Linked DNA regions of Callithrix jacchus. The protein of the gene in region 2 interacts with the protein of the main gene of each other region in a biochemical or structural test. Links are inferred from orthologs where the notes say so. Each region holds a gene or a part of one and is shown on either strand. Other genes may lie near its edges.

Region 1 (3,500 bases), on a different chromosome or scaffold from region 2:
ATCTTCAGGGGAGGACAGGCTGAAAACGATGAGACAATAATGGGGACAGGCAAGTTCAGACACAAGGACACCTGCGACAGAATGGGAGGGACAGACGTGGACATCTGGGATGTGTCAGGATAAAGGGAGGGGGTGCCAAGGACAGGCTGGAAAAGATGAGAATCCCTCCGGGACAGGAGGGAACACCGGGATGGGGGTGCAAGTTCAGACTAGACAGGTGTGAAGTTGCCCATGGTGGGAATGGCTGGAATAGTGTGAACTAGATATGGGAATAGCTTAGAACAGGCACGGGTGTGTTCAGGACAGGATGGTTCTAGACAGACGTGGTTATAGATGGGAGATGGTGGAATGGGACTGATAAGTGCCTAGGACAGGTCACATGTGGGAGTGTTGGAGGGAAACACAGACATGGTAACTCCCAGGGAAGAACAAGCTGAAACAGATGAAAAGACATGTGAGGACAGGCAGGGCTGCGCAGGACAGAGAAGGCTGGGACAGTGTGGGGATACCCAAGGCAGGCCAAGTCCAATGGCAGATGCCTGGGTCAGGCTGGGATAAAGGTGAGGGCACCTGCAGCAGAAGCGGGGAGTGTTTAAATGTCCTGGGGGTGCTGACCTTCCAGTGCGCTGGTGAGGACACTGACTGCGCTGAGGGCCCGCTGCCGTGCTTCTGGCTCCTCGAAGCCATCTACACACGGAGCCTGAGGGGTCAGCATCCGGGGCCCGCCTGGCTCCTCCGATGGCGTGGTCTGAGTGCAATCAGGAGATTTGCGTCAGCCTGGGGAAATGGGGAAAGGGGTCCTGCCCCCAGCTCTAGTCCTGCTGGACCTGGGGTGGCCAGTCCAGACTCAGGCTGGGGATGCCACAGGGATAGGATGCAGGTCTTGATGGGACACTGAATGCTGGGCTTCTCTATTCCCAACTCCCTCCCAGTTAACAGCTCCCTCCCCACTCCTGCCAATCACTGTCTCCTTCATTCTCCTTTCTTCTTCACTGCCTCTCATCAGCAGTGATTCCTGAGTGTGGTCAGGAAGCTGCACATCTCATAGGGCCTCCCTGAGCCAGATGCTGTCATACACATTAGTACACGCAAAAATGATGTGGAAGTCTTAATTGACCACAAGCTTCCTAGAGTCAAGAGCAGAAAGAAGCTGAAAAAAACAAAAACCTAACATGTTCTAAGAGGATGCTAATAGAAGGACAAGGTGCAATGCTTCCACGTGGCTGGTGGGAGGCTGTGTCTTCTGGGGAGGCAGTTAGGCTGGATTTACCAAGAAAAGTTTAAATTGGCCCTCCAAGTCCTCACCTAGCAATCTAACTTCATAAATAATTACACACGTGCATCAAAAATACACATAAAGGATGTTCATTGCAGCACTGTTCCTAATACCATAAGAACAGAAAACAACCAATCAATAGCAACCATATTAAAATCAATTACAGACACACTCCAAGCCTGGGCTCAGATCGACTACAAAGAGAACGAGGCAGTTCTGTGTATGCTCCCATGGGAACATCTCCAAGACAAACAGTTTGATGAAAAAAACAAGAAAAAGATCTGGAAAATGCATGCCAAATAATTAAGGTGGACATATCTGGGGAACGGGACTGTGGGGGAGGGGAAGAGAGGGAGGCGTTCCCTCTCCACTTCATGTGCTTCTGCACCGGGGGTTTGTTTTCATCATGCATGCACCATTTCTATCAGTAAAAAACCTGAGGTCTGGAGACAGCCCTGGTGAAGAGAGGTGGCAGGCAGGCATTCTCCAGACTTACCTGGAGCCTCCCACAAAACCAAGGAGGGCCCATAAAGTCTTCACTTCAGCAGGGCTCTGCATGACCACAGCCCAGGTGCCAAGCTGTTCAGCATGCAAGACTGTAATCTTTGTAGGGCAGAGGGAAGATGGGTCTAGACTACCCAGGGTAGAAGAAACAGGGTGTGGGGTGGTACCAGATAGATCTGGGCTCAAGTTAAGGACATCCTGGCCATCAGTAGGACTGCTCTGAAATGTTGCCTAGGGAGGTAGTGAGCTCCCAGTGATGGAAGTATTCAAGTGGAGGCCCCCGAGAGGGCAGAGGTGGCTGGTGCAATGGTACTGCCCCAGGTCCAATGCAACCATAAATTTAGCCAGCTTAAGTCACAAGCATGTCTTACATTTTTCCAACCTCTCCCCTCCTTTGCCATCTGTGACGGTTTGGTTATCCCTTAGCACATATGCACTCTCTTTCCCTTCCCACCAGGGCTGAATTAAACTTCCGTGTCCCGGGCATGAACAACTTGCTTTGGACAACAGAATATTAGTGAACATGCTGTGAACAGAAACCTCAGCTGGGCTAGTGCAGTTTATCTTGCTCTTGTGCTCCAGGAACCCTCCATGAAAAGAGCTTTCCAGATAGCTGTCACCCTTTCAGCCTGGGCCTCAGAACAAAGACTCGCGGAGCAGCCCTGAGCCTAACTTACAACATGGAACCAAGCCCAGCCAGCATGCAGTCTGAAGCAGGGCTGCCCAGCTAACCTAACCTACATGGGCCACATTGTAGCCAACCTGCAGATGAATGAGCATGAGAATAAAGTCTTGTTGCTAGAGATTGACTTCTGGGGTAGTCTGTTACACAGCACTACTGTGACAACAGCTGACTAATACACCATCTTAGTCCAGTGGTCAGCATCTCTCTTCCCAAACCCTGCAACAGTCTCCTAACTGGCTTCTTGTCACTCTAGTCCCTCGATTCTCTGCATAGTAGGAAGGGATTCCTTTACAAAGTAAATCAGATAATGTCACACCTCTGTTCAACAACTCCTTCTACCCTACTGCTCCCCCTCTTACTCAAAGTATATCCAAACTTTTCTATGATCTACAAGGTCCTGCACAGCCCAAGTCCTAACTCATGAAACTCATTTTAATGTTTGTACCACACGTGGCCCTATTAGCCCCTCTCACCCCTTGGATGTGTCCCCCTCAGGGGCTTTGCACTTGCTACTCCCTCTGCCTGAATGCTATTCCTCTACATTTTAGGGCTGGCTCCCTACAATCTTTTGCCTGTCAATTTTAACTTACCTCCTCAGGAAGGCCTTTCCCGGGTATTCTAAAAGCCTCATCCCCATCCTCCTCTTAGCAACTTTCCATCACATGACTTACTACTACCTGAAAGTACTGACTAGTTTACTGTTTTCCCAACTATGGTATAAACTCCGAGGGGAACAGGGATCTCGTCTTCTCCGTTCCCTGCTATAACCCTGGAGTCTCAGCACTGCCTGGCATTCCACATGGCAGGCTGGCACTAGATAAATACTGGTTGGATAGGTAAATTCTTGGGAATCCATCAGAACGCTTGGGTTAGAGTTCCAGCTCTGGTCCTAACTTGCTAGGTGACCACAGGGAATGTGGAGGGAGAAGAGGAATGGATCTTCAGTGTGCTGCTTCTACCTTTATCTGGCCTTCTGGAAACAGGCACTCTCATACAAGCAGAGGGCTAAGTCAGTCTTCAGCCCCTCCCCCCATC
Region 2 (2,860 bases):
TGGCTTCCTCCTTGCTCTATCTTCTGTCTCACTGTGGGGAAAGCCAACTGCCATATCATGAGAAGACTCAAGCAGCAGCTCTAGGGTTAGGCCTGCATGGTGAGGCACTGAGACCTCATGACCATAAGCAGTATTGGAATGGATCCTCCGACCCCAGTCAAGCCTTCAGATGACTGCAGCCCTGGCCGACAACTTGACTGCAACCTCATGAGCAACTCTGAGACAAGAACAGCCCAGCTTAGCCCCTCCCAAATTCCTGACCCACAGAACCTAGGACATAATGAATATTTGTCATTTTAAGCTGCAAAATTCAGGGTCATTTGTCTGCTAAATTTGGGGTAATTTGTCACACAAAAATAAATAACCAATACACTCTCTTTGGCCCTGTGGTGAAGGTCTGTTCTTCTCCAGGGAAAGGTGCCCCGGTCCTTGGTCTGGTCCATCTTGGGACTGCAGGGGCCACCCCAGGGCCCAAAGGCCAAGGCACAGACCACAGACACTGGGCCAGGCTGCCTGTATGCTCACAGGCTATTTATTTATCCAAGAGTAAGGAGGAGAGAGAAAGGATGAAGAGAAAAACCAGACTCCCCAAGGTGGCGGAGCTAAGGGGAAAAACAAACAGAAAGGCTCCTCTTCTTTCTCTTGCCGCTGACCCCAGGTATTCCAGCTTCAGATGGGACCTCTGGGGGTGGCTTAGGGGCCTCAAGGAGGCCTGGCAGCTCAGCTGTTGGCTGGGGTCAGGATCCACACAGGGGCAGGTCCCAGGCTTGGAATGGCTTCTGTGTACACAAAATATCTCTCTGCAAAAGGCACTAGTGGAGGGGGGCAGCAGGAAGGCTACCCCATCACAGGCAGGGTCCACTCTGTCCTGGGTCTGGGTCCTGGGCCCCAAGACCAATCCAGCCTCCCTCAGGGGCGGGGTCTCTGAGGAACCTCGTTCCTCTCCTCTCCCTTCTGTCAGCCCAGGGGCGAGCAGGCATTCGGTGGAGGCCCAGCTCAGGCCATGTTATAGACACCCCTCTTCAGGGCTAGTGCATCCGGCGACTTCTAGGCCAAGAGCCCAAGGCGGGTGACTTTGGCCGAGAGGAAGGAGTGGATGATGAAGACTATGGTTTTGGGACACGAGTGGAGGTCCAGCTGCTGCAGGGTGGATGGAGAGAAGAGTCAGGGCCCTGGCCAGCCTGGCTTCCAAGAGTGCACACCCCCTCCTCCCCAGGGTACAGAGGCTGCCCTTCACTCACGATCTCGCCTTCAGCACCCCCAAAGTCCAGGAAAAGGAGACTGGCGCCATCATCTGAAGACATCTGCAGCTTCTCGAAGGGTTGTCGCAGGAGCACAGCTCGGGCTGCCCCTGGCTCAGCCGCCCACAGTGTGAAGCCCTTGTCGATGTGCACAGACAGGCTGCAGGGACGCCCGTTCCACGTGCAGGCTGCAGGAGGGGCACGTAGGTACAGGCATAGCTGGCACCTCAGAGACCACACCCCAACCTCCAACCCCCACCGCAGCGTCACAAAGTGGGGCCTAAATGCCTCCATGTATGGTAGGATCACTGTTTGTTGTGGCACCTGTATACCCATCCTGCAGAGAGTCACCACCCCCACCCTCAGAGGACCTATACCCACTTCCAGCCCCACTTCCAGCAGCACTACAGTATAAAGGGGGGAGCTTAAAATCTGTCATGGACAGGAGGCTCACTCCTGATAAAGGCATCATCAGATCTACCAAGCACCACCCTTGGAGACTTGCAGAGTTGCCCAGCTAAATTTAAATTTCAGATAAGCAATGACTAATTTGGGCATAGTTCTATGAAAAAAGTATTCATTGTTAACTTGAAATTCAAATGTAGCTGGGTGTCCTGTATTTCATCTGGCAGCCCTACCCCAAGTGCCATCTCTCACATCCTCAGCAGATGGACAAAGCTGGGGCAAGAAAACCCCAGGGAGAAGAGTCTCTGCCTACCAGGGCACCTGCACATCCAAAACAGAGGCCCAAACCCAACGTTGGTTTCTTTTTTTTTGAGGAACAATCTCACTGTCACCCAGGCTGGAGTGTAGTGGGTGTGATCTTGGCTCACCACAACCTCTACCTCCCAAGTAATTCTTGTGCCTCAGCCTCCCAAGTAGCTGGGACTATAGGCACCTGCTACCATGCTCAGCTAATGTTTGGGGTTTTGTTTGGTTTTATTTTGTTTTTTGAGACCGAATCTTGCTCTGTCACCCAGGCTGGAGTGAAGTGGGGCTATGTGGGCTAACTACAACCTCTACCTCCAGGATTAAAGCAATTCTCCTGCCCCATCCTCCCAAGTGGCTGAGATGACAGGTGTGTTCCATCATGGCTGGCTAATTTCTATTTGTTTGTTTTGTTTTTTGAGATGGACTGTTGCTCTGCCGCCCAGGCTGGAGTGCAGTGGTGTGATCTCAGCTCACTGCAGCCTCCGCCTCTCAGGTCCAAGCAATTCTCCTGTCTCAGCTTCCTAAGTATCTGGGATTACAGGCGTGAGTCACCGCGCCTGACCTAATTTTTATATTTTTAGTAGAGACGGGGTTTCACCATTTGGCCAAGCTGGTCTTGAACTGCTGATCTCAAGTGATCCACCCGCCTCAGCCTCCCAAAGTGCTGAGATTACAGGTGTGAGCCACCACACCCAGCCAATTTTTGTATTACTAGTAGAGACGGGGTTTTGCCATGTTGGCCAGGCTAGTCTCGAACTCCTGACCTCAGATGATCCACCCACCTTGACCTCCAAACCCCATTTCCTGTCTGAAGTGCCCTAAAGAAGGAAGCTTGAATGTCCCTGAGGAGAAGAGGCTCATTACCAGAGGGACACTCCCAGATCCTCCCAGCACACCTGTAGACACCT
Region 3 (3,970 bases), on a different chromosome or scaffold from region 2:
TGAGTAGCTGGGATTACAGGCAGGTGCCACCATGCCCAGCTAATTTTTTGTATTTTTAGTAGAGACGGGGTTTCACCATGTTGACCAGGATGGTCTCGATCTCTTGACCTCGTGATTCACCCGCCTCGGCCTCCCAAAGTGCTGGGATTACAGGCGTGAGCCACCGCACCCAGCCCAAGAATCACTCTTAATGCACTAAAAAAAAAAAAAAAAAAAAAAAAAAAAAACAGCTGAATACAGGTTCCTGAGAAAAGACACTCTTTTCAAATTTGCCTTTTAGCAGATCTTACCAACATTTCTTACAACTGTGAAATTCCTTTCATGTTATTTGGGATATATGTTTCTTCCATTAAGAAGAGGGAAAAAAATGGACTAAAAGGCAAATGGGATATAAGAAAGATTATCCTGGATAACTGACTATACAATAATTTCTTGAGAACAGAATTCCAGCATCATTCATCTTGGTAACCGTGGTAGGGTATCTAGAATGATTATAAGGGCTCAAAAATAGCCAGTCTGTATTCTAGGTATTTACTATACACTTTATTCTCTCCAGTGGCACTTCTGGTGGGTACTACCAATCTCATTCTATAGATAAGAAAAAAGTAAAGCCCAGATTGTTAAACAATTACTTAATCTTACAAAAGTGCAGAATCTGTTCTTAAGTTAATTCCCTTTTTTCATGTGAATGACTCAAAAATATTTGGTGAGTGAATACAGAATTAAAAGCAAATTCTGGAGATGCCTTTTATTTCAGATCCATGATCCAGGAATACGACTCTAACCAAAGGAGATTTCTTTAGGTAATGTTGCCCTTCTTCCCTTTAAAAGAGCTCAAAGCCAAAACTATAATCCAGACACCATCAAAGAGCAAATGAATGTCTAGAAATAAACTGAGCATTTATAGAAGGATACACTAATTTGGACATTGGAAAACAGGTGTTAAAATTTCAGATCACTTGTTATTAAAACACTCCTTGGGGGGAAAAGGTAGCATATAACTGCACACTGTTGATGTGAATATTTGCAAAAAGTAGTTTCTGACTTTGTGAGTTGTTACACAATATACTGAGTTGCTTAAGGTTATAATCTTTCCTTTCCACTGAGATCATTCACTTGGATTGCTTCAAATGTAATGTGCTCGGTCAGAAGTAGAAACTGGAGTTAGGATTGCTTCACCAGGGCTAAATATTACTCACTTTGCTCAAACCTCATTTGTCCTCTGCAGCCCCCACCCAACTCTCATTTTTCAGCTACACTCCACCAGATGCATACTTAGTGCTTGTGGTTCCAATGACACAACACATTCAAGCTAACCTGTCTGTGGAAAGTTTGCAACCCTCTGAGTTCAGACGGGGGTTAGCCATGAAGCATAGGGTGCCAGGAAACAGCATTTGTAGTCAGTCACTCTTTTCTCTTGTCCAGTCTTTTTCACATCACCTTCATCTTTGCCCGCTATTTTATTCCTCTGCTGCGTCTCCTTTGGGACTCGTGGGGGAAGGAGGACATGAAATAATAGCTTTCCTAATAATGCCACTAACCAGCCCTCACTCAACGCAGCCTAGTGCTACTTACTTCTCCAGGAAAGGGCACCAAAAAAACAATTGTAAAGAAACCACTCCTCGTTTCCTCTTCTGTGTCTCGTGTGTGTGTGTGTGTGTGTGTGCGCGCGCGCGCGCGCGCGTCCGTATGCGCGCACGCATGTGTGTGTGAAATTTTAATTTCCCTGGAATCGGAACTACAGAAGTCCCTCCTCAGCCCTACTGGGAAAGAGGCATTGGGCATGACCGCCCTATCCAAGGCAGGCTGCAATCCTTTTCACAGAAGTAGAGGAGAAAAGGGGTGGAGAAGGGCGCTACGATGCAGCATCCGTAGAGAAAACAGGCAGTTCGCACGTGAGCGGGCTCCCAGCCTGCGGCGCCACCTGACCTCCTGGCGCCCCCAGTGTGGCGCAGTGGCCCAGGAAACGCAGCAGGCGCAGGCCCTCCTGGACCCCTGCCAAGTCAGCGCTCCGCTTCTGCCTGGGCTCAGGCCTCGCCCGCATACACTTTTCCATCTGCCTCCACCCCTGCCATCCTTCTTGGGGACCGAAAATGAAGGAAGATGAACGCCCCCACACCTCCCTTTCCCCCCGGTATTTCATCTTCCCCTCCCAGCCTCTTCGTGTCCTGATCATCTGCTCAAAGAGAAGACGTTCTCCACAAACACTCTCACCACCCCCGTCTCCACTTTCTGCGGCACTGAAGCCAAGCCATCTCAGGGGGCTCGGGGCCGGACACTGGCGGGGCGCGCCTTAGGGACTCGCCGCACTGGAAGCAGCCCTTGTAATCCCGTGAGCTGAAGGGACTGGCGAGCACCGCGCCACGCCGAGTCTCGGTGCGAAAGCCGGGAGCGTGGGCACCTCCTGGCCAAAAGCTCGCGGGGCGCTTCTGGCCGGGGACCCCGCGCGCCCCCGGCAGCTCCCGGCCAGCTGTCCGCGCGCACTGGCTGACGCGAGCTCTCCTCCCGCGGCCGCTTCGGGGTTTTTTGTCTATATAAGGGCTCGCTGGCCAACTCTGCGTTGGCACGTTTGTCGCAGGCTGGCCATTATTTGCACACACACACACGCGTGCGGCTCAGCGGGAAGCGGGTCGCAGACGCACGTTCGCCCTCCTCTTCGCCGGCGCCTCCGCCTGCTCCTCCTCCTCCTCCTCCTCCCTCCCTCCCTCTCCGGCTGTACTTACTTTATCTGGTCTCTGGAGCAGGGTGGGCGCTGCAGTCCTCGGTTCCCCGCAAGCCGCAGCCGGTTGGCCTCGCTGTCAACGGGTGAATGGAATTATTTATTTATTTATGGCCCCTGACGTGTCCTCGCCCGCCACAACCAGCGGAGGAGGAGGCGGCGGCGGCGGGAAGGGGAGGCCCGGCTGCTAAACGCCCTCGTGGGTGCGGAGGAGCGCGCGCCAGGGGTGGGGGCCAGGGTGGGGGCCAGGCAGGCGGCGGTGGAGGCCGGCCCGGGGGGTGGTGAGGGGGGAGTCGCCTCCCGGTGCCTGGAGACCGACTGAGCATGCTCCAAGCGGCTGTCAAAGCTATAGGCACTTTCTCTATGGCTCGGGGTATTCCACTTCGGATTTTAGATTTGACCAAGGGAGAAAGCCAAAAAGGCAGGTAGATCTGTCATTCCAGATGGGTCGTGACTTGCCATATCCGAAGTACTCTGTAGCCTGACCTAGAAGTCAGATGTGCGGTAGCTCTGTCTAGATATCCCAGGCAGTTGTGCACCCCATGCATGAGAGAGGAAAGCATGCAAAAAGAGAAGAGTTTGGCCGAATGCAGGGAAAACAGGAGATCCTCAATTGTGAGCTTGCAGGAAAAGTGTTGAGCCATTTTTCAACTCTGGCCTTTTTGAAAGAAAGAGGTGGGGCACTGTTAGAGATTAGACTCACCAACCAAATAACTCGACGGAAAAAAATAAAACTGACACCATAAGAGGAAAGGCATAGAAAACGGCATCAAAAGACTTTTAAAATAATTTTCAAATTATTTATAAGTAATTTATTTCATTTTTAGTTTCCCAAATTACTTAATTCTCCAAAATAGCATTTAGTTATTTTACAATGAATAGTGCTAGAGACAATGGTAATTCTGCAATCGTTTGGTTTGGTCTCTTCCCCTGTCTAACATATGCTTCTTGGGAAAGTTGGAAAGAGGAAGGGCTGAAGTGAACATTTAAGCAACATTAAAGACTGGGTTTCTTTAATATCTTTAAATTGAATTGCCACTTAGAGAAAAAGAAACGATCCAAAAGAATAATTGTAGGTTTTGAATTGACAACTTCTATTGCCGTTTGTCTACCAGTTTAACTAGCTTTCTCCTCCTTGATTTCACAATAATCCTTTTAGATGTGTTCCATGATTCTTCACATTTTACGAATTTAGAAACAGAGTTACGTCATTTGGATAAATTCACATTTTCTTTTGACACAGCTAGTCTG
Region 4 (3,500 bases), on a different chromosome or scaffold from region 2:
GCTTTGCTCCTACCTGTATCCATCTCATCCACGTTGCTAAGGAAGTCCTCTGGAGTTGTGGGGACACTGTAGCACCCTAACCCCAGGCCACTGTCAGTGCTCTGCTCCCTCGAATGATATGGTCCTCTGCAGAGCAAAAGATGGAGAAACTTCAACGTTAGCCCACTAAGTAAGTCTCAAAATTAAAACAAAGTCACAAAAGCTCTAAACTAGTGTAATTGTGCCATTCTGCCCAACTTTCCAGGTTGGGCAGGACAGAAAGCTGACTCTGATTCCCTTTAATTTTAAAATGTATAAACTCATGAAAATGAAAGTAATCATGTGTGGTCATTCACAATAAATTGACATTGAATTCCTTTTCACCACAAATTAACCATTTGAACACTCTTCTACATACAGAGTATGACACCATTTATGTAAGACTTTTTAAAAACCAGAAACAATGTTGAATGTTGCTTATGGATACACACACTGACAGGCAGTAAGAGCTATAAAAATCTATGTGATGGACACACACCACTTTCTGAACAAAAGGAACAAAAGGGAACAAAAGGGAAAAGAAATAAAATTTCAGTGGTTGGGGGATGAATTCAAATACTAATTATAATCTTTATTTATTAAAAATAAGATTGGATGAAAATATGGCAAATCTGGGTAATGGGTACATGGGTAACTCATGTTATCCTTTCTACTTTTCTGTATTTCAAATACTTTAAAATCAGCAACTTAAAAATTCCATTACTTATTATTTCAGCTACTGTTTGTTTTTATCTCTATCTTTAATAATTTTCATAATTGTATTTGTTTCCTTACCAGATGTTCCTGCAAGGGCCGAAGAAAAGACATAGGAAATAGAGCACTGCCCTTTTAATTTGATTTAAAACCTACTTCGGCTCATGAAGGTATTTCTGGCTAAATTCTCTTTCTCTTTTGCTCCTTTGTTTTAATTACTTTTTAAATTGTGAAATAGTTTTAAACTCACATAGAAGATGCAACAGGAGTATAGAGAATTCCCATGTACCCTTCCTTCACCAGCTTCCCCAGTGATAACATCTTACATAACCATAGTGCAATTACCAAAACCAGACTGTAGAATACTATTAAGTAAACTATAGACCTTACTCACATTTCACCCTGAACATCACATCATCTTAATTGTTCTGTTCTCAATTTGCCATACAGCATGCTTTTATCCCCATTGGTTACATAAAACCACAAGATTCTTCCAAGTACAAGTACTAGACAACACCATCGTGTTTAAATTATAGGTTCACGCCCATTTTCAAATTCTTAACTAGGGATTTACTCTGTATTATATCACCAATTTTTAAATTTGGGAATTTTAAAAAAATGTAGATGATTTTCCCTGCTTTACTTTTTTCTGCCAGCTCCTCCCACTTCCTTTCTTTATTCTCACCCTCCACCCTCAAGCTCCCCACCTCTTCCTAATGTAAACAAAGATCCTACTATAGTCTAATATGAAGAGAGCAAAATACGTGTGCCCCAAATGTTAACTTACCCATTGAGGAAAGGATCTGAGCTATTATTAGTGATGGATCTCATGTCTGGGGTCATGGCGGGCGGATTGACAGCAGCCTGAACTGGGGCAAGAGTCTCAGCTTCCATGGGGAGCTGTCGACAGAGGGCAGCTTCCTATAGAAGGAACAACAGAGTGGGAAGCAAGAGTCATTCACTCATTGTCACAAACCATGAGCAGAGTGTACTTCACATCAAAACTTTTCACCAAATATTTACTCCAAGTTAAAATCACCAGGCAACCATTAGTATTCTTTCTCTGAAGAAAGTCTTACAGACTAAATCACTTCACATTCACAAAGTTAATGGGAAGCTCAGCTATTATCTGACCTAAGGGCACTTAATGTTGCAATCATCCCACCCGTGCAATTATTTAAGCACCCAAATCATAGAAAGTCCTCTCAAAACACTTTCTCAGAGACAAGGCTATTTCTATCTCAGGTTCTCAAACCAAATTTACATCAGTCAAAGCAATCAGACTCCTCTGGACTATAAGGTACATTCTGGTCTTTGCCACTTACAGGCCAATAAAACTGTGGGATTAGAGTCCAGGCTCTAAACTGCATCTGGCATTTTTATGGTTACAGGTAGGAAAGCAAAACAATGAGTTGAAAAGTTTGCTTTAAAAAAGTCAATCAGTGGCCAGGCATGGTGGCTCATGGCCATAATCCCAGAACTTTGGAAGGTCAATGTGGGCGGATCACTGGAGCCCAGAAATTCAAGACCAGCCTGGGCAACATGGTGAAATGCTGTCTTTACAACAAATACAAAAATTAGCTGGGCATGGTGCTACTTGGGAGGCTGAGGTAGGAGGATCTCTCATGCCTGAGAGGTTGAGACTAAAGTGAGCAGAGATCACACCGCTGCACTCCAGCCTGGGTGACAAGTGAGATCCTGTCTCAAAAAAAAAAAAAAAAAAAAGTCGATCTATTTGACTACTTTGTGGACTAAAATTCTGGAGCTGGGGAGCCATGTAGATCCAATCCAAATTCCACAGACAAGTAACTATTTCATAGCATACGATTTTATTAGCAAAAACAAATAATACAAGCATTATTTTATAAAAACTAGCATTACGTTGCCAAGGAGAGTCAATCCAAAAGGTTGCAAATTTACTGACTGCAATTATTTCTCTAGGTGTAATCTCCAGGAGTCTCTCCATTTTCACAAACACGACCAGACATCAAATTCCTTTCAAATTTGCTGCTGTTTCCAGAAAAGAATACTTTTGTATGTTTACACTTGCATCCCAAACCAAGGTTAGGCCTTTCCCCATATTTATGCCTATCAGTTTCCCACTTTCCATGCTGAAGTCATTGGTCTCACCATCCCTCAAACCCTAAAACCATGGCTACAATGGCAAACAGAACACTTAGGACTTCTAAGTTATAGTATCTTTGTTAGATCTCTTCTAGCCCTAACATGCTGTGACTTCAGAGCGTAAATGCTGTCTAGACAAGTCCTGGTGAGGTCATCGGCTATAAAAATTTTCAGTTACTAGAGTTCATTGTGCTGCTACAAACCATGAGAGACCTGATTGATTTTTTTTTTAACTGTACTGTTTACTTATACTGAAATAAATCTTCTAGCTGGAAAGGGTCTCTGGCTCACTTCTGTTCATCTAGATCGTAAATAATCAAAATACCTAACAAACACATTTTATTCAGGAATCTATAAAAAGCAAACTGAAAAACATGGAGTTTTTTTGGTAAAAAGATTTCAACCATCATCTAAATCTTGGAAGTGCCTTCTGAATAAACCTAGAAAAATCAATTTATTTTCTGATAGTTGTTTTTAACATGACAGGCAAGGTGCATTAGAAATGTTATTATCCAGCCAAAGTTCTCCTGAAAGGCTCAGAAGGAACGACAGGGATTGAATCTGACATAAAAGCCTGGACCCCAGCAGTCCCCATCCCTCATGCATACTTACACACCCTGAGCCACAGTTTGAAAATTGTATCT
Region 5 (4,269 bases), on a different chromosome or scaffold from region 2:
CACCCAGAGATGACAGAGCCGGACCAAACCCTAGTCTCCTGTTCTCCGTCGTTCTCCATAACCCTGAGCTGTCAGGCCTGGGCCCCACACTCTGGGTTGTCAGGGAACCCCCAGCGCCCACGGCTCGGGTTGAGCCAGCTACTTCCTGGCCATCCTGCCACTTCACTCTAGCCCTCTGAGGAGACCGGAGGGAAAGTGCTCCTGCCTCGAGGGTAGTGAGAGGAGAGAACACCTGCAGTTAGACAGCCAGAAGAACTTCCCTGGGAGTCTGGCTATCACTGACTAGACCCAGTGCAGAGAGGAAGAGACTGAGGCACCCCAAAGCCAGGTGGAGAACCTATGAAATCTGAAATCCCTCTGACTCTTCTGAGCCCCAAGGATGTCAGCATAAGAACAGCAACACACAAACCACCGTAAGTGTTTCTCTTCCTTGTGGGCTCGCCCTACACAAAAGGATCCAGTCCCAGCTCCTCAGTGTGGTATAGCCAGGTCCCACCTTAGCCGGCATCCGACATCCCATAAACCAACAGGTACACCCTGATTCCACAGATTCCAGAACACGCCACAGGCCTCTGCACCTCTCTGCCTGCACTCACTGTTCCCCCCTGCCTGAAATGCGCCTAGCACCTTCTTTGCCCTGAGACTCCTTGCTGTTTCCCAAGCCCGGCCTCAGTGCCACTTCCTTGAGAAAGCCACTTGATGACCCCAGCAGAAGTCATTCATTACCCACTCGTTCATTCAGCCAGCGCTAGGCACCCACGACGTACGAGCCCCTGGGCTGGGCACAAGTATGGTTCTTGCTTAGTGGGCTGAGGAGTCAGGCTAAACTAGGCTCAAAAGCACCTGAGAGCTACTTGACCTTGAACATGTTTTTAATTTAGCCTGTCTGTAGATTGAGGACCCTGACGTCCCCCATTCCCCAGAGGCAGATTAAATGAGGTGGATGCCCACAAAATGAGCAGTTCATGGTAGGCGCTCAATACATGTGACCGTCCTTTCTCAGGGATCTTTCTGTGCGGACCTCCACAGCGCACGTCCTGTTCCACGCCTCTCCCTGGTTACTCTGCTGTGTCCTCACAGGCAGACAGCTAGGACTGATGTTCCATCACATGAACGCTCAGTGCGTGGATGCAGGAGAGATTCAAGCAGCCTGAGTGCCCAGTCGGCAACAGATGTGTGCCTGGTCTTTCTCACCCTTTTGCATGGATTGAAAGTGGGAGGATGAAGGTGAGACAAATGACCTGCTTGGCCACAGGCCTGACCTGGTAGCTGTCCTGGGAGTGTGGGGTGCAGGGGGTGGAGGAAGGAGCAGAAAGGAGGGGAACATGGATACAGGGATGTCTGTAGATCCAAAGCATCTTCTCTCACAGGATCAGCCCCCTGATGCCAGGTCCCTAGGCACAAAGTTGAAGATGGGATGGGGGCTCTGGGGCAAGGAGGGTCACCTTTCCAGGCCTGGGCTGTGCCCTGAGGCAGCTGCTCATCCTGCAAGAAGACTGGATTGGGAGGAGGTGGGGAGAGGCAACCAGAGGAGCTCCAGGCAGGGAGAGGTTCAGAGACCCCAGGAAAGAGTCCTTTCTCTCCTCTCCCGCCCTGCGTGACCCTGGGCAGCCCACCTCTCCTTTCTCGGCCTTTGTTTCCTCATATGTCAAGTGGAAAACATAACACCTATTTTGAATATCTGTGTGTGTTTGTTTTTAGTTTGGTTTTTAGATAGGGTCTGGCTCTGTCACCCAGGTTGGAGTGCAGTGCTGCCATCTCTGCTCACTGCAACCTCCGCCTCCCCGGCTTAAACCATCCTCCCACCTCAGCCTCCCGAGTAGCTGGGACCACAGATGTGCGCCACCATGCCCAGCAAATTTTTGTAGAGATGGGGTTTTGTTATGTTGTCCAGGCTGGTCTCAAACTCTTGAGCTCAAGCAATCCGCCTGCCTTTGGCCTCCCAAAGTGCTAGGATTACAGGTGTGAGCCACTGGACCTGGTGGAGCAGCTGTTTTGAGGATAATCAGAGACTAAAGGAAGACTCCACATTGTTCACCTTATGTGAGAGTAGCTTCTAGCCCTGTGTGAGGTGGGGGGTGGAGATGGAAATGGGCATGCAGAGGCCTGGGAGGAATGTGAGGGGGTTGGGGAAAGGCATGGATGTCAGAACCTGTGTGTCCCTGGGAAAGATTCATGTCCTCTCTGGACCTCAGAGGCCTCATCTGTAATGGGACAGTGTGGACTGGGTCTCCCAATGGGCCTTGTCAAGATCCAGCACAGATTCGTCTCCCCGCCATGGAGTGAGGACAACCTGAATCTCCCTCTCTCATGCCCCCAGCTCAGCACTATCCAGACATTGACAGGCATTGTCTCCTTTCATTCTTGCAAGAATGCTGTGCTACAGGCACCTACTACCAATGGGGTAACTGAGGCATGGGGAGTCATGGGATGGGTGGCATGATTGGGGTGGCTGGAAGCAATGGTCTGGAGAAGAGAGGCTCACTCTGAAGTTTAGAGGGGAATGCTGGTGAAGCCTCTGTCCGTCCATACACTTTGGCAATGTGTCCTGCCCATCTCCTCTCTGTTCTCTCCCTTGATCCTCACAAGAGCTCTATGGGGTATGGGCTATGCGTGTCTTTACCCCACAGGTGAGGACCCTGAACTAACACTCAGAGAGGGGAAGGGCTTGTCTGGGGTCAATCAGGCAGTAAGCAGCTGTCTGGGCCAGGATTTGAACCAGGCTCAGCTCTCACTTTCTAGGGGAAAGGTCATTCCAGGCTAGCAGAGTACTCACCAACCAGCTCACTCTGGGGGACTTCTCATGCCTTCTGGGTCCGACAGCAGCCCTGAGAGCCCATGTGGAGGGCGGAGAGGAGCGGAAGGGAGGGCGACTTGGGACTGGCAGGTGGACAGCTGAGGAGGAAAAGGAAAAGGCCACTTCAAAATGCTAGAGTCACAGAGTCCAGAGGTTTTTGGCCTAGAGAGTGTCTTAAAGTCCAGCCAGGGCTGGGTGTGGTGGCTCATGCCTGTAATCCCAGCACTTTGGGAGGCGGAGGTGGGCAGATCACTTATCGCTTGCGGCCAGGAATTTGAGGCCAGCCTGGCTAACATGGTGAAAACCTGTCTCTACTAAAAATACAAAAATTAGCCAGACATTGTGGCGCACACCTGTAATCCCAGCTACTCAGAGGCTGAGGCAGGAGAATCACTTGAATCTGGGAGGAGGTGGACGTTGCAGTGTGCCAAGATCTTGCCACTGTGCTCCAGCCTGGGCTACAGAGCAAGATTCTGTCTCAAAAAAAGAAAAAAGTCCAGCCAGCCCATTCTGCAGATGAGGCAAACTGAGGAAGTCCAACTGCTTAGATTAGAAATCAGATCAGGACACACCCTTGGAGCTCTAAAATCCCAGCAGCTCCCAGGTGGTAAGGTCCAGAGGCAATTAAAGGGTCACTGGGAGGGCAGAGGGCCAGAATCCATCCCAGCAGGCTGTGCCCTGGGGACAGAGGACTGTAGGGGTCTCTCCTGCCCTCCACCTCCACCCTCGCCCACCCCCCAGCACTCAGTAGTCACCAGGGTGGAATATTTTAGCACCTATAGAAAAACCGCCACAGACGGCCGTGGCAGCTGTTGCTAAGGAGACGCTCCCAAAATAGCCCCCCTCCGCCAACCTTTCCCGCTGCTGCTCCTGCTGTGGGGAGGGGAGGAGACCAGGCAGGGAGGGGGTGGCACATGAGTCCTCGCCCCAGGTTCACCCACCCACCCTGGCCCCTGGTGCCCACTCTGGCCCAAGACACAGGTCTATGGAAGGGCAGGAGCTGTCCCATGCGTGCCTGTGACCTCAGCCACAGTCCTCAGCTGGGGAAGAAGGTCACTCAGGTGATAGGAGATGGGGGAGAAAAAGCCCCCACACCCAGGACCCCTCAGCACACTCCCACACATACACGATCACAGGTTCTCCTAGTTCTCTACATCCACTTGTGCACACCACAAGTACAATCCCACGCATGCCCACCGAGGGGCATGCACACATCAGCAAAGACATTAGATGCACGGGTAAACATGTGTCACAAGTACACATCCACCTGCCAACAAATGCCATGAAGCCATGAATACATGTTTTTACATCCATGTAGTCACAATCCATCCCAAATACACACGTACACCAATATACGCATGCCAGGCACACGGACACACACACACACACCCTCCTGGCACATGGACACACATATTCACAGATACAACTGTCCCAACACAAACCCAGCATGTGGCATCTAAAGGGCAGTCAGT
Region 6 (4,231 bases), on a different chromosome or scaffold from region 2:
CATGCTGGGTCAGGCAGCATCTCTGGGGGCCAGGGACAGCCTGTGCCCCTTGCCTGGGTCTTGGATGGGGGGTGGAAATCATCTGGGAGTTGGGGGCCTCCTGGGGCCTAGTCAGTGTAGTGTTCAGTCCTGGGGAAGTCCAGTGTTGGGGTGTGGGGGAGCAGAATGGGGACACAGCCCCACCTCAGATGCCTGGTCTGTGTGGGGCCTGCTGGACCCCTGAGCCCCACCATGAGGAGTGAGGGGGACAGCAGTGGAAGCAGGGCTTCCTGGAAGACGTGGATGGAGTGCCACAGGCAGCCCAGGGCACAAAGGTTGCAGGCCACAGCCAGTTGTGGTTTGGGTAGCCCCGGGCTACCCCGGCTCACTGGTCACCAGCTGGTGAATGCCGCAGACAGCCGGAAGCCCAGGTGTAAAGCTACTCCCACCCTTGAGCGGCTGAGCTGCTGATTCATGGCAGGAGGGCGGGCGGGGGGCCCTAGGGAACTTGTTACCCACCAACCCAGTGGGTTCCAGGGGTGCACCCCCCATCCTTCCTGAGACCCAGATCACTGGGCTGGGGAAGGGGTGTCAGGGTGGGGCTTTTCACTCTGAAGCATCTGGTCCAGGATGGAGCCAGACCGATGGGAGGATGATGCCCACACGGAGGGGACAGGCTGAGGGCCCAGCAGGTCCTCGTCCCTGTAGGAGAGAGTGCAGCCATGAGCTTTGCAGGACGGAACAGGCAGGGGTGGGACAGGCAGATGCACTGACACTTGCAATGCGTGGAACAAGCACCCCACAGAGGAGAGAAGGGGAGGAGCTGGGGGTGCAGGAGGGCCCACGGGGACCTATGGGACTGGGAGGCCCAGGGTCAGTGGCCACAGCAGTGGGGTTGGGCATGCAGCTTGAGGAGTCTGGGAGACAGGGACGCAGGCAGGACAGGTGCAGGTGGACCCCACGTGCGGGGACAATGGTCAGGCACAGCGGCAGGGTATCCTTGGGGGTGAACCTGGGAACACAGGGCTCAGCCCAGGGAACTCAGGGCAGGGGGACAGTGACTTGCAGCTGCAGACCCAAGTCGGTTCTCAGGCTGTCACGGATGGGCCTGGAACTGTGGGGAGTAAGGACTGGAGCCCGGCGGGGATCCTGCTGAGAACGCCCCTCCTCACCCCCCAAGGCAGGGAAGTTCAGCCAAAGGGCAGAGGCTGGCATGGGTATCTCCGCGCCGCGTCCAGCCCTAGGTCCGGACAAAGCTGCGGGGCGGCGCTCCCCTCCCCCTGCGCTTCCCCCCAGGCTCCGGCCCTCCCCCGGCGGCGGCCGCCTCGGGTTTCCGGAGGGGCCGGAGGGCGGGCGAGGGCGTCACGTGCGCGCGGCCCGCGGGCCGGTTGGTCCCCGGGCGGGGGAGGGGCCGTGCGCTGCCTGGGTCGGGGCTGGGGTCGGGCAGGGGTTGGCACCTGGGACATCCCTGCGGGAAGAGCCGGGAGCAGGAGCGCCCCAGCGGCGGGCGGGCGGGCGGGCGGACAAGCCGCGCGGAGCGGGCCCGGGGCGCGCGCCGAGGGAGCCCCGCCGATCCCGGGTTACCGGTCCTGGGGGAACCGCCCGCGGGCTCTGCGGAGTGGGCGGCTCCCGGGCCTGCCATGAGCTCTCCGCCGCCCGCCCGCAGTGGCTTTTACCGCCAGGAGGTGACCAAGACGGCCTGGGAGGTGCGCGTCGTGTACCGGGACCTGCAGCCCGTGGGCTCGGGCGCCTATGGCGCGGTGTGGTGAGCGCGGGCCGGGTGGGGCGGCCGGCGGGGCGGGCGGGGCCTGCGCGGGGTGCCCGGCCTTCCCGCTAAGCGTGTGCCCCGCAGCTCCGCGGTGGACAGCCGCACCAGCGCCAAGGTGGCCATCAAGAAGCTGTACCGGCCCTTCCAGTCCGAGCTGTTCGCCAAGCGCGCCTACCGGGAGCTGCGCCTGCTCAAGCACATGCGCCACGAGAACGTGAGTCGCGCGGCCCCGCTCCGGGAAGGCGCCGCACCACGGCTCGGCTCGGCTTCCCCACCCAGCGACGCCCCCTCAGCAGGCGGCTGCGGGGCGGGGCGGGGACCGGGCCGTGGATCCCCAGGGGAGGAGGAGAGCAGGGCTCAGCCCCCGTCTTCTCTGCCAGCCCCGGGAAGGACTCACCCCCTCAACTCCGCGCCTCAGCCAGGCCCTGGTCAGGGGACACGAGTTGGCCAGGCTCAGGGATTCTCCAGCTCTCATGCCAAACCCTGCCCCCAGCCAGGAAGCCCGTGGTGAGAGGACGCTCCCAGTGGGCCGATTTTCCTGGAAGGGGCACCTCCCCTCTTTCCCATCCGGACCCCTCTCCAGCTCCTCTGTGGAGCCCACTCTGTTGCGGTCCATTTCCCGAGTCTTCTGACCCAGCGGGGGGCGAGGGGGGCGCGTCCAGAACGTAGGGAGTGTTGGACCCTCAGGAGCCCCTGGGGGTGCAGGGTGTAGGGAGCTGGGGTTTGGGGGCCACTGGGTGCGGTGGCCATCACACAGACACCCTCCCGTTCCTTGGGTGGTGGTGGGGGCCCATCCTTTCCAGCCCTGCCCATGAGATGCACAGCTGCCCTGGGCCTCTCTCATGGCTGTGGCTGGCTGTTGAAAGCCCTACCTTTCTGCCAGGGGCGCTCCCGTTTCTGGACACAGTTCCACTTGTTCACTGCCCCCCACGTCACTCCTGCCCTGCCATTTGAGCTCCTGGACCCTAGCTTCAGGGTCACACGCTCTGGACCCTCCTGGGTCATCCAAGCCACCAGCGCCCTGGGAGAACGAGTCCCTGCGTCCACCAGCAGACTGCCCCCACCACTCCCTCAGCCCTTGAGTGGGTGCTTTTCTCTGAGGCTTCCCATGCCCACCCTGACCCCAGCTCACCCCCCTGGCCCTGTGAAGCCCCTTTGTGGTGGACAGCAGTACCGCCGCCATCTCACCACCTCCCAAGTCACACCCAGGCCTTGTCCCAGGAGTGTACCCGCCCCCACCCTTGGTTTTATCCAGCTCCTCCCCTGCAGCCCCCTGGCCCCACCCACCCACTCACCTGTCTGTTCCTTGCCCCTGTCCAGCCAAGAGCCCCGGGCTTTTCTTTTTTCTCTGGAGACTTGTTGCCCAGGCTTGAGTGCAATGGTGAAATCTTGGCTCATCGAAACATCTGCCTCCCTGGTTCAAGCAACTCTCCTGCCTCAGCCTCCCAAGTAGCTGGGACTACAGGCACGCGCCACCACACCCAGCGGGGGATTTTGTATTTTTAGTAGAGCTGGGGTTTCACCATGTTAGGCTGGTCTGGAACTTCCAACCTCAGGTGATCCGCCCACCTTGGCCTCCCAGAGTGCTGGGATGACAGATGTGAGCCACCACGCCCAGCCACCAGGGCTTTTCTGTAGTCACTGCTCGCTGTGCCTGTGGGTCCACCCCCTGGGCTCCTGGCCTGCAGCTTCGGCTCTTCCCCTGGAACGCCATCATCCTGGGAGACTAAGGGTTTGCAAGGCCATGTGCCTTGCTCAGCTGGGGAGGAGGCTCTGGCACAGGCCCCAGTCCTGACGTTTCCAGGCGGGCCCCCATACCACAGAGGCCAAATCCATCCATCTGATGGCCCCAAGCCCACAGGACCCTGTTCTCCGTCGTGGGCTAAACCACTCTCCCAGGCACCCTCCAGCTCTCATGACTGCAGTCCCGGCTGCTCCCAGGCCTCCCTAGACCTCGCCCCACCCACCGTTCCTTCTCTTTCCACACTCTTGCCCTCAGCTCTGGCCCACGTGGCTACAGTGGAGCTGTCCTTCCAGCTTGTGCCCATTCTTGCCTCACTCCGGCTGGTCCCTATACCACAGCCAGGACACATTTAGCATCACACCCCTGTTTAAATCCTTCCCTGTCTCTTGGGATCAAAGCCAAACCTTCACCTGGTGTGTGCTTCCTGCCGGCTCCCTCTGGCCTCTCCTCAGCCCCTCCCTGGCCTGGGCCTCGGCCACCTGGCCTCCCTCCCTTTGTTCCTCAAACTCTCCCAGTGTTTTCCCTCCTGCCTCGGCTACTCTGTGTGTGCCCTCTGCCAGTTTCCCTCTGTCCACACGTCCACCTGCTCCTCTGTCCTTGGCTATGCAAAACTCCAGGCCTCTCTGGGACCCTGGAGGCCCTGTCACCCCAAAATGCTGAGGTGGCAGTTATCTTATGACCTGTCCACTGTCCGTCTCCCCAACCAGGGGCGTTGTGGGGACCAGGTCTGACTGGTCACG
Region 7 (4,038 bases), on a different chromosome or scaffold from region 2:
GCACTCCCAACCTGGCACATGCAGCCAGCCTGGTCCTCACACGCAGATTTGTGCTGCCTGGTCCCTGGAGACCTTTAGCTAATTTGTTGAACCCTAGCTGGATTTCCACCTGAGATGAGTGTGCAATGCTTCGGGCTGCGTTTCTACTTCCCTTCTAAGTGACCCTACTTCAGTCTTATTACAGGTATAAGGACACCTCAATTTACGATTCAGGGGCTGGGAAAAGCAGCCCGTGTGAGCCTTGCTCGAGCCACGCCTGGTCTTACAGTCTCTCCTGTATGCTGGTCTGGGTTGCTGCAGGCTGGGGAGCCCTGCCCTTCCACACAAACTCTCCTACCCCTGGCCTTGACCTGCCTGCCCAGTGCTGCCCCCACCTCCCTCTAGAAGCACAGTATTCAGACGTGCCCCCAGCTGCAGATGCATAGTGGACAATGGCCCTTGGGAAAAGGTCTCCACAGAGGCAGGGTGTAGGGTATCCCCCTCCGCCGCCAGCCACAGCGGAGTTATGAAGCTTCAGCAAACCACTGGCCTCTTCTAAGGTCTAGTTTGGACATATTGAAATGGTACAAGGGCCATGCATGATTTGACAATTCATCTCATCGAGTGATATTCAATGAACCCACTCTGTGCTACGTTTCTTCTAGGCAGTGGGGATGCAGCAGCTAGTAAGTGAGGAGCCAGGATTCGATTGCAGGCATTTGGCTCCAGGGTCCTTGACTCTTCACCCCTGAGTGCTGGGTTGCTCCTGGCAGGCCACATTTGTATAACGTGTGGGTGTGTGGGCACACAGCAAGGGCCTCAGCACCCAATGGGCAGGGGCAGGCAAAAGCTGAGCTACCCACCCACCTTCTCCAGCTGCTCGATGCAGGGTGTGTGCACCACAATCTTGCAGGCTGCGCACTTTCTCCGAGACACTGACTTCTGCTGCAGGACAAGAGGAGAGGGCCCCTGAGGCACCAGTAAGTCTATCCTGGAGGCTGCCTGCCCCAGCACAGCTGCCCTCTGTGTGCACTGGGAAGCCCAGTCCTGGCCTCTGGAAAAAGCCCCTGCACCTCTCACCATCCTGGGGTGATCCACTGCAGGGGTGGTAGGGAGAGGGCTCCATCCCACCTTCCCAGAAGGGCTGCGGGTGCTAGCTCTGCCAGCAGGGGGCAGCGTGTCCCAGCGAGCACTCACCAGCATCCTGGCTACACAGTACTGCTCTCCCACGTAGCAGAAATCCCCTGACACGTTGGTCTCGAACCAGATGTGCTCCCCATACGTTGCTGACTCCTAGCCACCGGATAGGCTTGCTCAGTGCATGCTGGCCGCCCAGCCCTCCCTCCCATCAGCCCCTGCCCACCCACCACCTTCTCCCAAGACAAACCCGCTCCAGAGCCTGGATCAACCCTGCTCTGTCCCATCTGCCCGACTGTCCACCCTTCCAGGCTTCGCTCTCCCAGCTGCCTGCTGTGCCTCTGCCCTCCAACTGCGCCATGGCCCAGAGTCCAGTGGGGCTGGGACCCATGGTTATGTAGGCACTCACGCTCCAGTCCACTGTGCTCCGGATCTGCCTTTCTGACTCGCTGCACGGGGCCCCAGGGGTGGGCGGAGGGGGAGCCAGGTGCTGGAGGCCAGACTTGGTGATGGCTTTCCTACAGGGGAGAAGACAGCTGAGGAGGGGGCTGAGCACTTGCTGACCCAATTTCCTCCCACTCCTGGGGCCTCTGTCCTCTCCATGACCTTGGTGACAGGGAGGGTGGAGGACCTCCCAGAAGACCCAGACACTGAGAAACTCCCTGCAGGAGACACGGCCTTTTGGGGTGCGCTGGCTTCGTGGCACTGCCCAGAGTGTTCCCAAGTGGGGAGGAACCCTTGGCCAGGCAGAGCTTCAAGGCCCTTGCCCAGGCCAGACCCGCAGGAGGTCACACCACTCGCCATGCTAGCCGCCGCTATACCTACGCGAGCAGGGCGCTCCAGGCCTGGGGTGCGGCCGCCTTGCGCCGTAGGGCTACCTGGCGCCTGCGGGAGAGTGGGCGCACACGGGTGGGCAGCATGGTGCCGGCGGTGGTGCCTGAGGCTCTTCGGCCCCCAGGGGCAGGGTGCTGGCCTGAGGGCCGCCGCTGGCTGAGGCGCCGATAGTAGCCGTGCAGGCCCCAGAGTGCATGGTCATATACGGCATCCGCGGGGAGCAGGTGGGAGGAGGCTCGGCGCAGGCATCGGGGCAGGGGCAACAGTGGCCTGGTGCCCCGGAATAGGGGTGGCCCTGGTGTCTTGGTGCCTGGCTGGATGGCGCTTGATGCCCCAGCTGCCACATCCTCCTGGACACCCTTCTCCTCCTCTTCATTCATGCCCACAAGCCCAGCCAACAGCAGGGGTGCGCCCAGAAGCTGGGCCCCCACAGTGGTAGGCTGTGGAGTGGGCACCTCATCCACGATGAGGCGGGGGTTGCAGGAAGGGGGCACGGTGCTGGAGCGCCGGCGGCTGGAAACCCGGGCCCTCACCCCACAGCTCAGGAGGCACCCCTGGAGCTGGGCGCTGGAGCGGCGCCGCTGTGCCAGTGAGGAGGAGGCCTGCCCAGCGGGGGAGCGACGCCGAACCTTGCCCGTGGGCAGCCCCACGCCGCTGGGCCGCCGATGCCCCTCTCCGGGGCCTGGCACCTTCCACTGGAAATGTCTCCTAAAGAAGGTCTCCATGGCAGGCAGATGGCTGTTGGGCACAGAGACCAGGGGCATCAGGAGCTGGACCAGGCCATGGTCTGTCCTGTGTCCAGGAGCCCAGTCAAAGCCTCTGCTCCATGAGGAGGGACGCAACCCCTGAGGGAGGAAGGGGTCACTGCAGCCTCTGACCTTCAGGTGTGGGGTGCTCGAGGGTCCCAGGGGTCCTCAGAGGAGCCCACGTTTATAGCTGTTGGGGTGCTGATGCTCTCCCCCACTGTACCCTGGGGAGCCCTGGAGTCTTAGGTGCTTCAGGCTACCCCTTCTTCACCTGTCCAGGCACCATGAACCACAGAGCCCCAGGCCTAAAGGCCTCCACCTGCCCCACCGGAAGCTGATGGAAAAGAAAAAAAGAAAAGTGGGAGTTGGTCTGCCTGGATGGAAGGCGGGGCCCCGGGCAGGACTGCCCACTCGCCGGGCCTTTGTTTTGCCACCAGTATGGGGCAGGTTAGGTGTCCCCTCCTGGGACATGGCGCAAACCAAGCTATGATAACAAAACGAGGCTCTGCAAAGGAACTCAGTCCTGACAGGACCCCCAGAGTCACCTTGGGGTCAGGCTGAGGGTGACTCCTGGAAGTAGAGAGGGTCTAATGTGTGGCTCAGGGAAGACGGTCTCAGGGAACTGGAGAGCCGCTGTCTGGCTCACCTAGGAGAGGGACTGCTCAGACTTTTTCACCCATGGGGCCGAAACAATAGGCTTGGGTCAAAAGCAAAGCCTTCTGGATCTGGGTGTGTGTGTGTGCCTGTATCTCTGGTGCTTAACTTCTCTGTCTTACCTTTCTGAAGGGGCAAAGTATGGATACCCCAGGGCAAAGTGCTGGGTGATGCCAGGAAACCCTTCTGGCTCTGCTGCTGAGGGAGCCTGGGACTGCACATTCTTCTGCAGCCCTGATGCTAGAAGCCTCAATACTCTCAATTCCAAACGCTGCCCAGCCGAGAGCTCCCTCCTGCAGGGAGGCAGGAGCCATGGGCCTCATCCTAGCTCTCACCTGGACCGGACCTCCCTGGACCCATCTTGAACTCATGCTCTGCTCCCTCTGCCAGCTCACTTCCACCCTCCCTTCCCTTCTTCACAGCCGGCATTTGGCTCCTATGCCCTCACCTCTCCTAAAAGTGGGGGAAGGGCAGCCCACCTGGCATGGTTCAGGGTGGCAATGCCTCCAGGTACCAGGGGCCACCTGTGCCCCACAGCAGGTGTTCTCTTGGGCAGAGACTGGTGGGGAATGCATCCTAGCCCCTGACAGCCATGGAGGTTAAGGTCACAGCCCTGGGACAGTGCTGCCCAGGGCTGGCCCGCTGAAGGCTGGCATTTAGTTAGGCATGGTGGGTGATGCCCTGGACA

The links.
Region 1: the proteins of SNTA1 (region 2) and SCN5A interact in a test that uses a peptide from one of them, tested with the Homo sapiens proteins (2 studies listed by BioGRID and IntAct). The link is inferred for Callithrix jacchus from reciprocal best matches to the Homo sapiens genes SNTA1 and SCN5A.
Region 3: the proteins of SNTA1 (region 2) and SLC16A7 interact in a test that uses a peptide from one of them, tested with the Homo sapiens proteins (3 studies listed by BioGRID and IntAct, with this or other methods). The link is inferred for Callithrix jacchus from reciprocal best matches to the Homo sapiens genes SNTA1 and SLC16A7.
Region 4: the proteins of SNTA1 (region 2) and WWTR1 interact in a test that uses a peptide from one of them, tested with the Homo sapiens proteins (2 studies listed by IntAct, with this or other methods). The link is inferred for Callithrix jacchus from reciprocal best matches to the Homo sapiens genes SNTA1 and WWTR1.
Region 5: the proteins of SNTA1 (region 2) and KCNJ4 interact in a test that uses a peptide from one of them, tested with the Homo sapiens proteins (2 studies listed by BioGRID and IntAct). The link is inferred for Callithrix jacchus from reciprocal best matches to the Homo sapiens genes SNTA1 and KCNJ4.
Region 6: of the proteins of SNTA1 (region 2) and MAPK12, one has a biochemical effect on the other in vitro, tested with the Homo sapiens proteins (2 studies listed by BioGRID and IntAct, with this or other methods). The link is inferred for Callithrix jacchus from reciprocal best matches to the Homo sapiens genes SNTA1 and MAPK12.
Region 7: the proteins of SNTA1 (region 2) and DGKZ form a complex in vitro, tested with the Homo sapiens proteins (2 studies listed by BioGRID and IntAct, with this or other methods). The link is inferred for Callithrix jacchus from reciprocal best matches to the Homo sapiens genes SNTA1 and DGKZ.

What each region holds. Positions count from the first base shown.
Region 1 is NC_133518.1:76,457,865-76,461,364, forward strand, and holds part of SCN5A (sodium channel protein type 5 subunit alpha), read right to left. Parts: intron 749-3,500; coding exon 616-748; intron 1-615. UniProt on the Homo sapiens protein: Pore-forming subunit of Nav1.5, a voltage-gated sodium (Nav) channel that directly mediates the depolarizing phase of action potentials in excitable membranes.
Region 2 is NC_133506.1:5,910,538-5,913,397, reverse strand, and holds the end of SNTA1 (alpha-1-syntrophin), read right to left. Parts: coding exon 2,849-2,860; coding exon of another isoform or gene 2,817-2,848; intron 1,430-2,816; coding exon 1,242-1,429; intron 1,141-1,241; coding exon 1,048-1,140; 3' UTR 501-1,047; downstream 1-500. UniProt on the Homo sapiens protein: Adapter protein that binds to and probably organizes the subcellular localization of a variety of membrane proteins. May link various receptors to the actin cytoskeleton and the extracellular matrix via the dystrophin glycoprotein complex.
Region 3 is NC_133510.1:59,924,620-59,928,589, forward strand, and holds the start of SLC16A7 (monocarboxylate transporter 2), read right to left. Parts: upstream 2,801-3,970; 5' UTR 2,724-2,800; intron 1-2,723. UniProt on the Homo sapiens protein: Proton-coupled monocarboxylate symporter. Catalyzes the rapid transport across the plasma membrane of monocarboxylates such as L-lactate, pyruvate and ketone bodies, acetoacetate, beta-hydroxybutyrate and acetate.
Region 4 is NC_133518.1:35,765,970-35,769,469, reverse strand, and holds part of WWTR1 (WW domain-containing transcription regulator protein 1), read right to left. Parts: intron 1,654-3,500; coding exon 1,520-1,653; intron 127-1,519; coding exon 14-126; intron 1-13. UniProt on the Homo sapiens protein: Transcriptional coactivator which acts as a downstream regulatory target in the Hippo signaling pathway that plays a pivotal role in organ size control and tumor suppression by restricting proliferation and promoting apoptosis.
Region 5 is NC_133502.1:209,372,827-209,377,095, forward strand, and holds the start of KCNJ4 (inward rectifier potassium channel 4), read right to left. Parts: upstream 2,801-4,269; 5' UTR 2,777-2,800; intron 1,228-2,776; exon of another isoform or gene 1,100-1,227; intron 1-1,099. UniProt on the Homo sapiens protein: Inward rectifier potassium channels are characterized by a greater tendency to allow potassium to flow into the cell rather than out of it.
Region 6 is NC_133502.1:218,838,445-218,842,675, reverse strand, and holds the start of MAPK12 (mitogen-activated protein kinase 12), read left to right. Parts: upstream 1-1,431; 5' UTR 1,432-1,619; coding exon 1,620-1,744; intron 1,745-1,831; coding exon 1,832-1,961; intron 1,962-4,231. UniProt on the Homo sapiens protein: Serine/threonine kinase which acts as an essential component of the MAP kinase signal transduction pathway.
Region 7 is NC_133511.1:111,387,414-111,391,451, reverse strand, and holds the start of DGKZ (diacylglycerol kinase zeta), read right to left. Parts: upstream 2,801-4,038; 5' UTR 2,715-2,800; coding exon 1,942-2,714; intron 1,635-1,941; coding exon 1,526-1,634; intron 1,273-1,525; coding exon 1,177-1,272; intron 925-1,176; coding exon 847-924; intron 1-846. UniProt on the Homo sapiens protein: Diacylglycerol kinase that converts diacylglycerol/DAG into phosphatidic acid/phosphatidate/PA and regulates the respective levels of these two bioactive lipids.